Arabidopsis thaliana: one gene and its partner. The protein of the gene in region 1 interacts with the protein of each later gene in a pairwise test. Each region holds a gene or a part of one and is shown in the gene's direction. Other genes may lie near its edges. The genes, in order: HB6 and LRB1.

Region 1 (6,442 bases):
GCTCGTTCCAAATGGTTTTGTTCCCTTGACAACATCACTGAAAAACCCATGAAGACAACATAACCATCAAAACCTAAATACATAGATATGTGTTTCAATTGAATCCAAAATCGAATCATAAGCAAACGTAATTTCAAATTCCGAATGATAAACAGATCTAATCAAAAACTATCAATTCAAATTCAGTGAAACAGAGAGAAATACAATTCAATTTGATTACCGGGAAGGCAAAAGATGCGTCGAATCGCACCGGAGAGTAAGCGACGCCATTTTCACCGGAGTTTTGAAGAGAGAGACGACGAGCTTCGAAGAGACTGAACCACCGCCGTAGAATATCACTGTGTGTGTTTTTCGCCGGTGATATTTTTTGGTGTGCTGACGTGGCAGTTGTATAGATATTTTTCCATTTATGGGTAAGCACGAGCGGAACGGCGTCGTTTAGGAATTGAATACGATGTCGTATTAGGTGGAAACACAAATCCCCATTGAGATCATCTTGTGTCGGTGCCTTGACTCGTTTTATTTACGTTTCTATTACACAAAACGTTTTTGATTGGATAATGATTTTCTTCACCAAATTTACACCTTACTTTACAGTTTTCCTCTTTTATTTTTTTTTATAAGAATGGAGCATTGTATCAAAATAGAAAATCGAGTAGATTTTGTTGCATTTTTTTTTTTTTTTCTTCAAACACCATTTATATTAAGTTATCGGGAAGAGACTCTCCGCTAGAGAGAGCCATTTAGGAACCAATGTGCTTACATGGGAAAAAAGGCTATTGCGAGCCCGAGCTTTCTTAGCTAAACAATCTGCTCGAGTATTAGAACTACGAGAAAGAAATCTAATACGAAAAGAAGGGAAAAAACAAACTAAAGAACGATATGAAGCCAATTCCGCTGCAAAAGTCAGCCAATCGTCTTGGTTATCAAGGATAGCAATCAAGTCTGAGCAATCCGAAGCAAAAGTACCAGAAGTATCACCAATAGAGATCATGCACTCCATTGCCTATAACAAAGAGTTAAATTCCGCATGAAGCGGTGATAAATTTCGACGAGTGCTCTTAAGGCCAAGGTGGATGACCAAGTCTTGTCGAACAAGTACCCAACCATGCCCGCTCAATGTGTCATCTACATGCCATGATGCATCGAGTTGACATTCAGGGAGCAAGGTGGACGGGGTCTGAGAAGAACCTACGAACACGATTGGACGAGTGGAATCATCCTCTTTTAGAGTTGCTTGTTTCCAAACAGCTGTCTCTTGAAGTGCCAAAACCAAAGTTTCAGGGGGAGGTTCCCTGAAGTTCTCAAAAACAAAACGATTTTTACTTTTCCAGATATACCAAATTATCCATGGAAAGAGTTCCAACACCTTTTCTCCAATTCCAAATTCTCGGTCACGCCAAAAAAGGAAGTCGAAATTATAGAAGAGAGAGTTTCTAGGGAAAATATTCCCTGAGGTAGGAATAGGCGATAAAGCCCAAATCTGTCTCGAAGGTGGACAATGAAACAATAGATGGTTGATTGTCTCTTCTACTTCTTCGCAACGGGGACAACCTTTATCTGTACCCATATGGCGATATGTCAATCTTTGACAAGTGGCTAAACAACCCGAGATACATTGCCACACGAAATGCATAAGCTTCCGCGTAGTTTTAAGCTTTCATACTTGTGCCTGAAGTGCCGAAACACCTGGTCCCTGAAAAGGGGGGTCACAAGTAGGACGAGAAAGATCTCTCGCGACCCAATATCCTGACTTAACAGTATAATTACCGGATTTAGTGTGAGACCAGCTAAAGCCATCACTCAAGTAGGTACGACTTGGGCGAATCCCTAAAATGAGTGGAATATCAACGGGATCGATCAGTGCTTGGAGACGGTCCAATTTCCACAAATTTGTGTTTTGGTCAATTAAATCATTGACATAGAGTAGAGAATCTCTTATGTTAAGAATGCTCTTTGCAGGCCGCGCTAGGATAGTGGGAATCCATGGATCTTTCCATACGCGAGTCAGCATTCCAGAACCTATGGTCCTCCGAAATCCAAAGACAAGAAGAGGTTTGGCGCATTTTCACCTCTAAAATAAACACAATTTCATGTTGATATTAAGGTTGTTAGTTTCGATCCAAAAGAATTATTTTGACTATAGTTAAGATGATGTTATACCTAAAAAATATAATTTACATTTTATAAAGAAAACAAACTAATTATATTATCAATGGATGATACCGGATATAGGAACTTATAAGGTGAAAAAAATCAAAGAACCAAAAACCCAAAAACTTTCCAAATATATAAGAGAATATAAATATGTTTTGGAGAATCAAAAGAACCTAACCCAAATAAAAAGAAAGCAAAAAACTCACTCTTGTTGCTGTCATCGAGGCCCAACAGCTCTTGTCTCATTTTTGCATTGCCACGAAAGTCATCACCCTATAACTTTAATTTATAAATTTTTTAATGGGTTAGAGAAAATAAAAAACGCATATAATCCAATTATTACAACTTTAACAAATTAAAGAAGACATGATGATTAGATTACCATGCGAATAAGACAAACATATTTTGTAAAATGTTGTCAAAAAAATATCTCTAAAGCATTCATGATTTTAGCATTTAACAAAATAATTCTGATAACCAATTTTGTTACACACTACTATAAAACTTCTAAACACAATATTGTGATGTTATAATAACTTTTACATGGTGAATAGACAATTTCAAAAGATTAATAAAAAGAAAACTCGATTATTCAATTTTTAAAAATAGATTATTAATTTAACACAGAGATTCCTTTCCACGTATAGCTTGAGTGGAGCTGAGCCGATTAGTATAAGCCGAGCCATATTATATCCGTTTGAGATTAATTTTATTTTAATTGATTTTTTAATCTTCTCTTACACGAGTTCCAGTGATACCGGAAGAAACCTGGAGGTAACTGGGTATAGCCGGTGGACCCCCTCAAATTTATTTTAACAAAAAAAAAAAAATCATTTACAAAAGAAAACACCCAAGACAATATCTACTTAACCATGGTTACTTTCTAACCCAACCTTTGAGTTTATTTAAACTGAGAGAAAGTGTGAAACCAAGCTTGTTCATATGGAAAACGCTCATCAACCTCAACAATCTCTCTCCTCTCTCTCTCTGTATATAGAAGAATCTCCATTGTCTTTAATTTCTCTCCATTTCTCTTTCTCTCTTCCTTCAAAGTTTTCTCTTTTCTTGATGGGTTTAAGAGAGTAAAGATCATCAAGTACTATGCATTAAATTGAGAAGTTATTAAAAATTTCGAAAGTAATTAAAGATTGTTGATGATGAAGAGATTAAGTAGTTCAGATTCAGTGGGTGGTCTCATCTCTTTATGTCCTACAACTTCCACAGGTACTTAGCTAATTTTCTAAACAAGTCCTTTAATTAATCTCATCTTTGTTTGCTAATTGTTCTTCTTATGGAATTACAGATGAGCAGAGTCCGAGGAGATACGGTGGGAGAGAGTTTCAGTCGATGCTTGAAGGATACGAGGAAGAAGAAGAAGCTATAGTAGAAGAAAGAGGACACGTGGGCTTGTCGGAGAAGAAGAGAAGGTTAAGCATTAACCAAGTTAAAGCTTTGGAGAAGAATTTTGAGTTAGAGAATAAGCTTGAGCCTGAGAGGAAAGTTAAGTTAGCTCAAGAACTTGGTCTTCAACCTCGTCAAGTTGCTGTTTGGTTTCAAAACCGTCGTGCTCGGTGGAAGACAAAACAGCTTGAGAAAGATTACGGTGTTCTTAAAACCCAGTACGATTCTCTCCGTCATAACTTTGATTCCCTCCGCCGTGACAATGAATCTCTCCTTCAAGAGGTATAAAAATTCAACCTTTTTGATAAAAGATTGAAACTTTTGTTGATTCAAAGTTAAAAAAATTGAAACTTTTTACCAATCTTGAGATTTACAAGAGAATTGAAACTTATGGTTTTGGTTTGATGCAGATTAGTAAACTGAAAACGAAGCTTAATGGAGGAGGAGGAGAAGAAGAAGAAGAAGAGAACAACGCGGCGGTGACAACGGAGAGTGATATTTCGGTCAAGGAGGAAGAAGTTTCGTTGCCGGAGAAGATTACAGAGGCACCGTCGTCTCCTCCACAGTTTCTTGAACATTCTGATGGTCTTAATTACCGGAGTTTCACAGATCTACGTGATCTTCTTCCATTAAAGGCGGCGGCTTCTTCATTCGCCGCCGCAGCTGGATCTTCAGACAGTAGCGATTCAAGCGCTCTGCTGAATGAAGAAAGCAGCTCTAATGTCACTGTGGCGGCTCCGGTGACGGTTCCAGGAGGTAATTTCTTCCAGTTTGTGAAAATGGAGCAGACGGAGGATCATGAGGACTTTCTGAGTGGAGAAGAAGCTTGTGAATTCTTTTCCGATGAACAACCGCCGTCTCTACACTGGTACTCCACCGTTGATCATTGGAATTGAAGCTGAAAACACCACCGGAAGAGATTTTGGATTGGATTAGATGCTCTTTTCTTCTCTGTGGAAAAAACAGAGGAGGGCAAAATGGGAATAAAGTTAAAATTGAAGGGTGAAAGGGCAATTAAGGAAGGGTTAAGTCTGGGCGGGAATAATGATTTAGGGTGAATTTGTAATTATGCTTTTTCTCTAGTGATTTTCGTGCACTTCTTGTAATTAAGGATCATCAGATCAAAGAGAAATTGAGAAGGGGTTAACATGTCAAAGGCAAAAATTCAGCATGGGCTCTTTAAATTACAATTGACCCTTGAAACCTAAATTATACCACTTCTGACCCTTAAATCAATTTTTGAATCATAAAACTACAGTGTGACTTCGTGTATTTAGTTCTAGTGTATTATGGGATTTTTTTCAAAGAGAATGCACCTCAAAGTCTCAGCTTTAAGTCTAATGTTTGGGTAAAAAACACACCGAACTTCAGATCCAAAACCTCTTGATAGAAAAAACAAAATAGATGTGTTATACACTTTTTTTTTTTTTTTGAATCTGTTAAATATACTTTTAGTGTAGTTTGTTTTGTGATTTGAATTAAAACTTTAGTATAAATCAATTTATTACATTTTCGATTACCGGAAAGTATTCATGTCATTAAGGTTTATTTAGTTCAAACTAATTTTTTTATTTCATTCTGTCTTATTTGACCTATAAAATCTAATTTAGCTTAAAAAGGTATTGTCATGTACCACTAATTTATAATTACTAACTTATATACTTTAATTAGTGATATAAGGTGAAACTTAGCAGTAATGACAACAAATAAAAGATGAAGATATATACTTAAAGGCGGTAAAAGATGATAATAAGAATCCGACCAAAAAAAAGATGTGATAAATAAAAAATAGATTGTACAATAAGTTTTAATAATATTTTAAATAATCATAAAATAAAAAGAAATTTGTTTTAATATTTTCTTACCAAAACCTCAACATAATATAGTAAAAAGCCAATAATACAAGACTTTGTACCGTCAGTTTTTTTATGATTTATAAGACCTAGATTTATAATATAATTCAATACCACTGTTATTTACTATAGCTTTGATTGATAATTTATTTGGGGGAGAAACTTTGACAAGAGAATTGGCACGAGGTTATGAAGATTTTTGGAGAAAAAACATTGACAAGACGAAAAAGTTGTTGCTAAGATACAGCTTCCAAAATGCGATTTATGCCATCAGAAATGAGCGAAACAAAAAAAAAAGACATGGAGAGCAAACTTCCCATCTGGAGATGCTAGCAAAGATAATAGATAAACATGTTTGAAACCGTCTAAGTACCATGAAGTGTGTTAGAGTAGAAATGCATACAAGCAAAATTTAAGTCTGGTTTGCGTCTATGCACTAGTGAAAGAAGTTGTGTCTCATTTAAAATGTTTCAAGTAATTGGTAATTATTTGTAAAAATGTGTATTTTTTTGAATATAATTTAACACTAAATTCAAAAAAGTAAAAAATAATTTGGGGTATACCTCTTAGCATCTTATAGTGATAAGTTTTTTTTCTTAACAATATGCATTATACAGATTTAAATTGATGTAGTAACACAATGACTTCATTAGTAAAAACCTAAAAACTACTTCATTATAGAGGTTAAATTCCTCAAAACTGTATAATGTTATTATTTAAACACTATCATTAGGTTTGCTGTTCAGATTTGATTTGATTCGAATTCGAGTTGTCTCGGTTTGTGTAACCAACAGTGTATTGATTGTTAAAGAAAACTAATTATGCTTAAAGGTAAACCGGCAAAGCTTTGGACCACCTCGAATAAGATCATTATAATAATAATACCGGAATCTTCTAATTAATTAGAATTCTTAATGCATCTTTGATTCTTTATATCTTTTTTACTGTTAGATCAACTAAAACATGTCGATGATCAGATCTTCCTATAACATTACTGTGTTAGATTTAACAGTACGATGTATATAATTTCC
Region 2 (7,436 bases), 9.5 Mb from region 1:
GTAGAAAGTCGACGTTTACGTTCTTCTTTGAAACCAGAGTGATAATTCCGGTTCGAGCAAATAATTAACTCGTGTCTTCTCATGTATGTTGGATTAATTATTTGGTTGTGGTTAATATTAATGCTCGTTAGTCGTTAAAAAAACTAAATATTTTAATTGTCCCAGTGACAGAAACCAATTTCACATGAAAAAAGGAAAAAGCTAATTTTGTCAACAGTTCACATATATTGACATTGAACACAACTCCGGTTCGACAAAAAAAAAGAACACAACTCCGGTCAACTATTTTTGGCAGTTGTAATTAAGAACAAAAAGATGTAACTTAAAGAAGAGACAATTTAACCGATTAGTTCAAATCTTTGGTCATCAAAAATTCCACAAGTTTTAAGAAGACTGATTGGTGATTAATAAACGTTAAAAAAAAAAAAAAAGCCAAGTCAAAGATGTGTCGGTAATAGCGATTGACCAAACTCTATCTGTTTTAGAGCATCATTAATGGTAGTTTCTTAGCATAATTTTAATATAGTTTTTATGAATATTTTTATAATTGATTTTGAAAATTCTGAAGTTAAAAACTTGGTTAAGAGATTGAAATTTAGGCAATATGCAATGGTGGAATCTTAACTTGGAGTTCTTAAAAAGAAAATTTGAAAAAAAAAATAGAAACATTATAATTTTAAAAAACTTAATAGTTATTACAACTCATAAAATTTAAAACATACATGACATAAAATTTTAAACAAATATGACAAACAATTCTATTTAATACTTAAGTTATCTAAAAATTAAGATTAATTAAATTAAAATATTATATTTAAGACCTAATTTATCTAAGAATTAACTTAAAAAACATTAGATTTGGCTCTTATATAAGAGCTATTCTTAACCATTAATTGAATTATAACATTAAATTTAAGATCTACTTTATCTAAAAACTAACCTAAAAAACTATCAATAATGATGGTCTTACGAATGCCTAGATTCTCTTCAATATACAAAAAGTACGGTTTAGTTATTGTTTGGACATTTGAAATCTAACTAATTCTCTTTTTAGTCTTAATGCAATGGAATTGCAAATACTCCATAAACCATAGTGTTGCACCCTAACCGTATCTCTCTCTAAAAGAGAATCTAGTCAACAAGATTATGTTTAATCTCTAATTAATGACAATAAGATTTACTGCCAAAATAAATAAATAAATAATAATAATAAGATTTACTGCCATTTATTCTTCTATATTTTTCAATTTTTTATTTACACTTGTTCCATAATCGTCCCAAGGAGTAGACTAGGGTTGATGCTCTTTCATCTATAAAACGACTTAACACAACATGTTCTTTCACATCATCATCATAAGCCTCAACAATCCATCACCATACATATTAGATTCTCCCTCTTTCCATAGTTTATTTTTGGTTCGTTTTATTGTAAAAAGATATCAAACTCTTTTTGGGGGACATTCGTTCTTCAAGTGTAACAGAAGGAGCTCCCTTCCTCCAAAACGAAGAGGACAAGATTTGAGGAACTAAAATGCAGAATCTAAGAGTTCATGTCTTCCTCATAGAGAGTGCGCGGTGTTAAAAGCTTGAAGAAAGCACACTTTAAGGGGATTGCACGACCTCTTAGATTCTCCCTCTTTCTCTACATATCATTCTCTTCTCTTCGTTTGGATTGAAGGGAGCTCCTTTTCTTCTTCTCTTAATTAGTCTCTGTTCTTCAAAACTTGGTTTCGATCTAACTTGTTTTCTTTTTCTCTAGTGCATTTTTTTTTTCAGGTTGTCATGTTTATTTGCAGGTGTTTGTGGTTGATGCTTGCATGGAAGCAATATTAATGTTGTTTATTTACGAGAAGACGTTCGTGTGCCAATTTGAAAATATGATATTAATGGAAATACAGATTAAAACTGACAAATGTATAAATATTTCTTGTTCCTTGTTTTAATTTTAACATTAGTCGTGTGTTTGTCGTAAATACGAAGGGGACATTTCACCTAAAAAAAGAAAAAAATATATTCATCAAAACTGGTCTTGGATACGTTTTTAGTTAAAACAAGAACAATAATAAAGTTAGGTTTAACTTCGATCAGATCGAAACAAGTACACTATAATTGTTTTGGTTTGAGAAAATATACCATCGATGGTTTCAAGAAATAATAGCAGCTGGGTTGCTTGTAGTCGATACGTTAAGTCGTATCATCTCAAATGATCCCTAGTAGTACACAACATAGTCAACTGGTTTGTCATGTGTTGGCCTACGAAGAAATGTATACCGGCCGGATTTCAATTTATAAATTAGTCCTTTTTTTTTTGTCAAGTTATCATTGCATAGCCAAGTTTCACTCGGTCAAAATCTAATTAACAAAGTCTGTAAAACGTTGAAGTAATTGTATTTTATTAAAAGAAAACTCCAAATTAGACTTTGATTCCAACGAATATTTAACGACATAAAAGGCATTGCCGTTTGTTGAACGAGTTGTCTTCTTACCAAATTTGACGCTTTCCAACTAAATACACTCCTAATTTTGCCTATTACCTTTTTCCTCCTCTAATTAAGTAAATGCTAAATTTCCCCCAAATACTAAAAATCGAATCCGATAAGTCAAAATCAAAATCGTACCTACGCGATTTATGCAAAATACCGGAAAAAGAACCAAAGTGCTTATTACAATCAAAAGACCAAACCGGTTAAACAATTAGTTAGGCTGGCATTAACGAACCTCTTTGTCTTTAATTAGCCTTTATCCGTCACCGCCCTGTTACCATAACCGTTCAACGTCGACCCGCTCTTTGTTTCAGAAAAAAAAAACAGAGAAAGACTTTTTTAGTGTTTCTTTGTCATTTTCGTTCCTCAAAAAAACCTTTTCGAATTTGACCCTTATTGTTATCCTGATTCTTCTGCTCGGTTCTCGCCGGAGAGAAGACACGGAGAAGAGGGTTTTCGAAAAGGAGGATGAGAGGTTCCAATAACACCGATCTATTTGACCCTAAGACGGAGATGGATTCCAATTTCTCTCGCCATGGTTCTTCCTCCGAAGGTGATTTTGGTTTCGCTTTCAATGACAGTAACTTCTCCGATCGTTTGCTCCGGATCGAGATCTTGGGTGGGCCTTCGGATTCTAGGTCTGATGCTGAAGGATGTACGAGTATTGCCGATTGGGCTCGTCATCGCAAGAGGAGAAGAGAGGACAACAAGAAGGACAATGGTGGTACGTTTGATTCCCTATCGGTTGGAATCTCAGATTTTGTTGTTGTTTTTATGAATTGTTCTTATGGTTGGTTTAGGGCTTTTGGGTTTAAATGTTTAAGAAACTTATACGTTTTGCATTTCCAGTTGCGATTTCAGACATTGTGGCATGTGCTGAAGAACAGATTTTAACCGATAACAACCAACCTGATATGGATGATGCTCCTGGTGGTGATAATCTTGACGATGAAGGAGAGGCAATGGTTGAAGAGGCTTTATCAGGTACCGTTCTAAATTTCACATTGTCTCTCGAGTGACTGGGTTTGAATTTGTGATACTTAACAATTTTCAGAAGAGCGTTTTTTGTTGAAGTCATTTGTCTGAAACGTGATGGCTTTGTTTATTAATGGTTTTTGTAGGTGATGATGATGCATCTAGTGAGCCAAACTGGGGTATTGATTGTTCTACTGTTGTTAGAGTTAAAGAACTGCATATTAGTTCTCCTATCTTGGCCGCAAAAAGCCCCTTTTTCTACAAGGTATTAACCTTTTTTCTTCTTCTATGTTCTTATTGTTTGCTCTTGTTCATCTCGCATGTAATGCTATCTTTTGCTTCTTGTTTTCCTTACCCTGTTGTAGCTGTTTTCTAATGGAATGAGGGAATCAGAACAAAGACATGTAACCCTTAGAATTAGTGCACAAGGTACGACAATTTAAGTCAAGCTTTTAATTCATTTCTGCTATTCTCCAATCTCTTTATATTGGCTTCAATTCTCTACTAGCTCTCTGTTGGCTTCTTCTTGTTTTGGATTCTTTATGCCTCTTGTATTAACTCAGTTGCTGACTTTGATTTACATATGATATACGATATTAGCTTTAAGGGAGTCCACATTGTTGATTTCTCATGCTCTACTTTTATGTGTATTGTAGAGGAAGGTGCTTTGATGGAGCTTTTAAACTTTATGTATAGCAACTCTCTAAGTGTCACAACAGCACCCGCTTTATTAGATGTTCTTATGGCTGCTGACAAGTTTGAGGTTGCTTCCTGTATGAGGTATTGTAGTAGACTACTGCGAAATATGCCCATGACCCCTGATTCTGCTTTGCTCTATCTTGAGCTGCCCTCTAGTGTTTTAATGGCTGAAGCAGTGCAACCTCTAACCGATGCAGCAAAGCAGTTCCTTGCCTCGCGCTACAAGGATATTACCAAGTAAGACTCTCCAGTGGTTTGAAATGCATTTACTCTAGTGTTGTATAATTCTTGTTCATGTGTTACCATCTTGTACAGGTTTCATGATGAGGTTATGGCCTTACCATTGGCTGGAATAGAGGCGATACTATCGAGCGATGATCTCCAAATTGCTTCTGAGGATGCTGTTTATGATTTTGTCTTGAAATGGGCAAGGGGACAGTATAGTTCATTGGAAGATCGTAGAGAGATTCTGGGTTCACGCCTTGCACTCTACATCCGCTTCCCATACATGACGTGTCGAAAGCTGAAAAAGGTACTAACGTGCAGTGATTTTGAGCATGAAGTAGCATCAAAGCAAGTATTAGAAGCGCTCTTCTTCAAAGCAGAAGCCCCACACAGGCAACGCATCCTCGCAGCTGAAGGATCGGACTCCATGAACCGCCGTTTCATAGAGAGGGCTTACAAATACAGACCCGTAAAAGTGGTGGAGTTTGAGCTTCCTCGCCCGCAATGTGTAGTGTACCTGGACTTGAAGCGAGAGGAATGCGCAGGACTATTCCCTTCAGGAAGAGTCTATTCTCAGGCTTTCCACTTAGGAGGTCAAGGTTTCTTCCTCTCAGCACACTGCAACATGGACCAGCAAAGCTCGTTCCACTGCTTTGGGCTATTCCTCGGAATGCAAGAGAAAGGGGCTGTGAGTTTTGGTGTGGACTACGAATTTGCGGCAAGAGATAAAAGTACAAAGGAAGAATACGTAAGCAAATACAAAGGAAACTACACATTCACAGGGGGGAAAGCGGTTGGTTACAGAAACCTTTTCGGGATTCCATGGACTTCGTTCATAGCCGAGGACAGTCAACATTTCATCAATGGCATTCTCCATCTCAGAGCCGAGCTCACCATTAAACGTTCCTCAGACCTGCACTGACTGTTTTCTTCTCTCTCTCTCTCTATGTCGTCACATTTAAGTTGTATAATCTCGTTATGTAGCAGCTCTAACCACGAGTGTCCTTTGTACAATAATTGCCTAAGGAGCAAAAGTATGGCTTAAAGAGTACCTCATTCTGTAAATTCTTTGATTGGATTTTTTTACTTTTCTATATGGGTCTTTATAAATAGTCCAAGATAGAATTTGGGCCTAGCTTTTGAGGTTAGTCTTAAAATATGGGCTCAAGGCCTACTACGATGCGTAATGATGAAGCTAAATTGCCTATAGTGTGAACATTAGGCTTTTATATTCAAAGTTCAAACAATGCGGCTATAGCAATGGTACATCGAGGAAATAGAATGAAGTGACAAGGATAATTTAGGAAATGAGGATAGAGGAATTGAGTCCTCGTCACATGGGGCCCACATAAATGCGTAAGTAAGACTATCCGCTTACCAGACGGACACGTCATTTTGTCGGGACACGTTTGAGCCGTTGGATGATTAATCTCCTTTTCTGACTTATCGACCCCACTTTTTTTTTCCACTACAAAATATTGATGGCCACGTCAGATGATTCGAAGTTATATAAAACACACGTTTTTATTGCAGCTTAACCGTCGATTTTTTTCTAATCGAGAAACCGAGATCAACGGTCTATATTCAAAGCTGATGTGGTCTGTACCTTTGCTTACGTCACCGAAAACCTAAGTTGAATAATACTAGTACTAGTATTATGCTCTCTGATTTCTTTCTACAGTACACAAAATAAAAATAAACAAAAATAGAGAGCCCAGACAATATTTACTACATCACCCAATGGATAACCGACACGTAGATACATCCATGTGAGTCGCATTTTGTAATGTAGGGACCACTTCGTGGATAGAAGCTCTTTTACGCCAACGCAAAAAAAAAAAGCCTCGTTGGCCCTTTAGCCTCTAAATGCCAATAACTATCTACTGGCGTGGCTTAGTTTATACCGTTGGATCATTTGTTTATCCCAGCCGTTGGATTCGAAGCAGTTGTCGGGCTTGTGGGCCTTTTCTTTATTGTTTTGTTTTCATAATAATGAAAGAAAATAAACTAAAAAAGTATTTTTTATTTTTCCTTTTATGGTGATTCCATGATGGCAAAAACGTGGCCATACACGTGGGTCGTCTCGTGGCACCTTTGGAAGATACGAATCGGTAGTGAATAATGGACGGTTCGGATCTTTAGTTTTGTCGACAGAAGTGCTCTCCGCGTCGGAGATACTACTAGTCAAAGGTCTTTTCTTCCTTCGTATTTTACCATAATGTCCCTTCTTTCTAATCAAATTTTTATCATGTATCCAAATTATTCGAAGCAATATTCTATATAATAAACAAATATGCCCATCGGTAAGTAGCAAAAGTTAAATTGTGTTTATTTTCATGCCATACAAAAATAATGATTCTGAAAATTCGTTGGAAAGATTGTTTAGTTTTCTTATTTTTATGTTGCACATGACTTCACTGACGTGTGAATGTGATGACGGATTTTGAAGAGGATTATACACTATGGTAAATATCGACTATAAAAATAATCTAAACATGAGGGAAGCGTAGAGCGACTAGAAATCGAACACGTGTACGGTAGAGATGACATAAGAAATGGCTGGCACTAAACTCGATGAGCCAACTCATCAAACACCACCGTAGTTTACGCTGTTATATATTCTCATGACACGTGTCTGATGACGTGGTCATCGTCTTGGCGCTCCGTTTTTTTTCTCTCTCTCTCGCGTCTCCCTTCCCTCAAAAAAAAAAACTGAACTCTTTTTCGCTCTGGTTTTTTTAGAGAGAGAGAAAGATGAAAATGCGTTTAATTGCTGTTTAGGTTTCGAATTCGCGATTTAAATTTCTGGGTTTCTCTCTGTTTAAGCTTCTTCTTCTTCATCTTCTGCTTACGTTTCTTCTTCAAGGAGCTTTCGGATTCTTGTAGGTATTGCGTAACTTAAATGGTTCAAATAGAGATTGTTTGGTCGAATAGTTTTGTGATTTGGTTTCTCTATCATTCATTGATCTTCTAAGTTTTGTGAAAATTTTGCCATTTTTGATCGTTTGCTTTTGCATTTACTTGAATTGAATGAAAAATTATAAGTTTTGAATT

What was found.
Region 2: the proteins of HB6 (region 1) and LRB1 interact in a two-hybrid assay, tested with the Arabidopsis thaliana proteins (one study listed by BioGRID).

The regions. Positions count from the first base shown.
Region 1 is NC_003071.7:9,524,482-9,530,923, reverse strand, and holds HB6 (homeobox protein 6), read left to right. Parts: upstream 1-3,078; 5' UTR 3,079-3,311; coding exon 3,312-3,381; intron 3,382-3,460; coding exon 3,461-3,840; intron 3,841-3,968; coding exon 3,969-4,454; 3' UTR 4,455-4,936; downstream 4,937-6,442. Other genes in the region: RIBA2 (riboflavin biosynthesis protein), read right to left, coding at 1-37, 221-270; AT2G22440 (non-LTR retroelement reverse transcriptase), read right to left, coding at 1,007-1,452, 1,690-2,014. UniProt on the Arabidopsis thaliana protein: Transcription activator that may act as growth regulators in response to water deficit. Interacts with the core sequence 5'-CAATTATTA-3' of promoters in response to ABA and in an ABI1-dependent manner.
Region 2 is NC_003071.7:18,993,160-19,000,595, forward strand, and holds LRB1 (BTB/POZ/Kelch-associated protein), read left to right. Parts: upstream 1-2,485; 5' UTR 2,486-2,951; coding exon 2,952-3,207; intron 3,208-3,332; coding exon 3,333-3,467; intron 3,468-3,604; coding exon 3,605-3,723; intron 3,724-3,823; coding exon 3,824-3,887; intron 3,888-4,114; coding exon 4,115-4,394; intron 4,395-4,472; coding exon 4,473-5,304; 3' UTR 5,305-5,513; downstream 5,514-7,436. Other genes in the region: AT2G46250 (myosin heavy chain-like protein), read left to right, coding at 1-42. UniProt on the Arabidopsis thaliana protein: May act as a substrate-specific adapter of an E3 ubiquitin-protein ligase complex (CUL3-RBX1-BTB) which mediates the ubiquitination and subsequent proteasomal degradation of target proteins.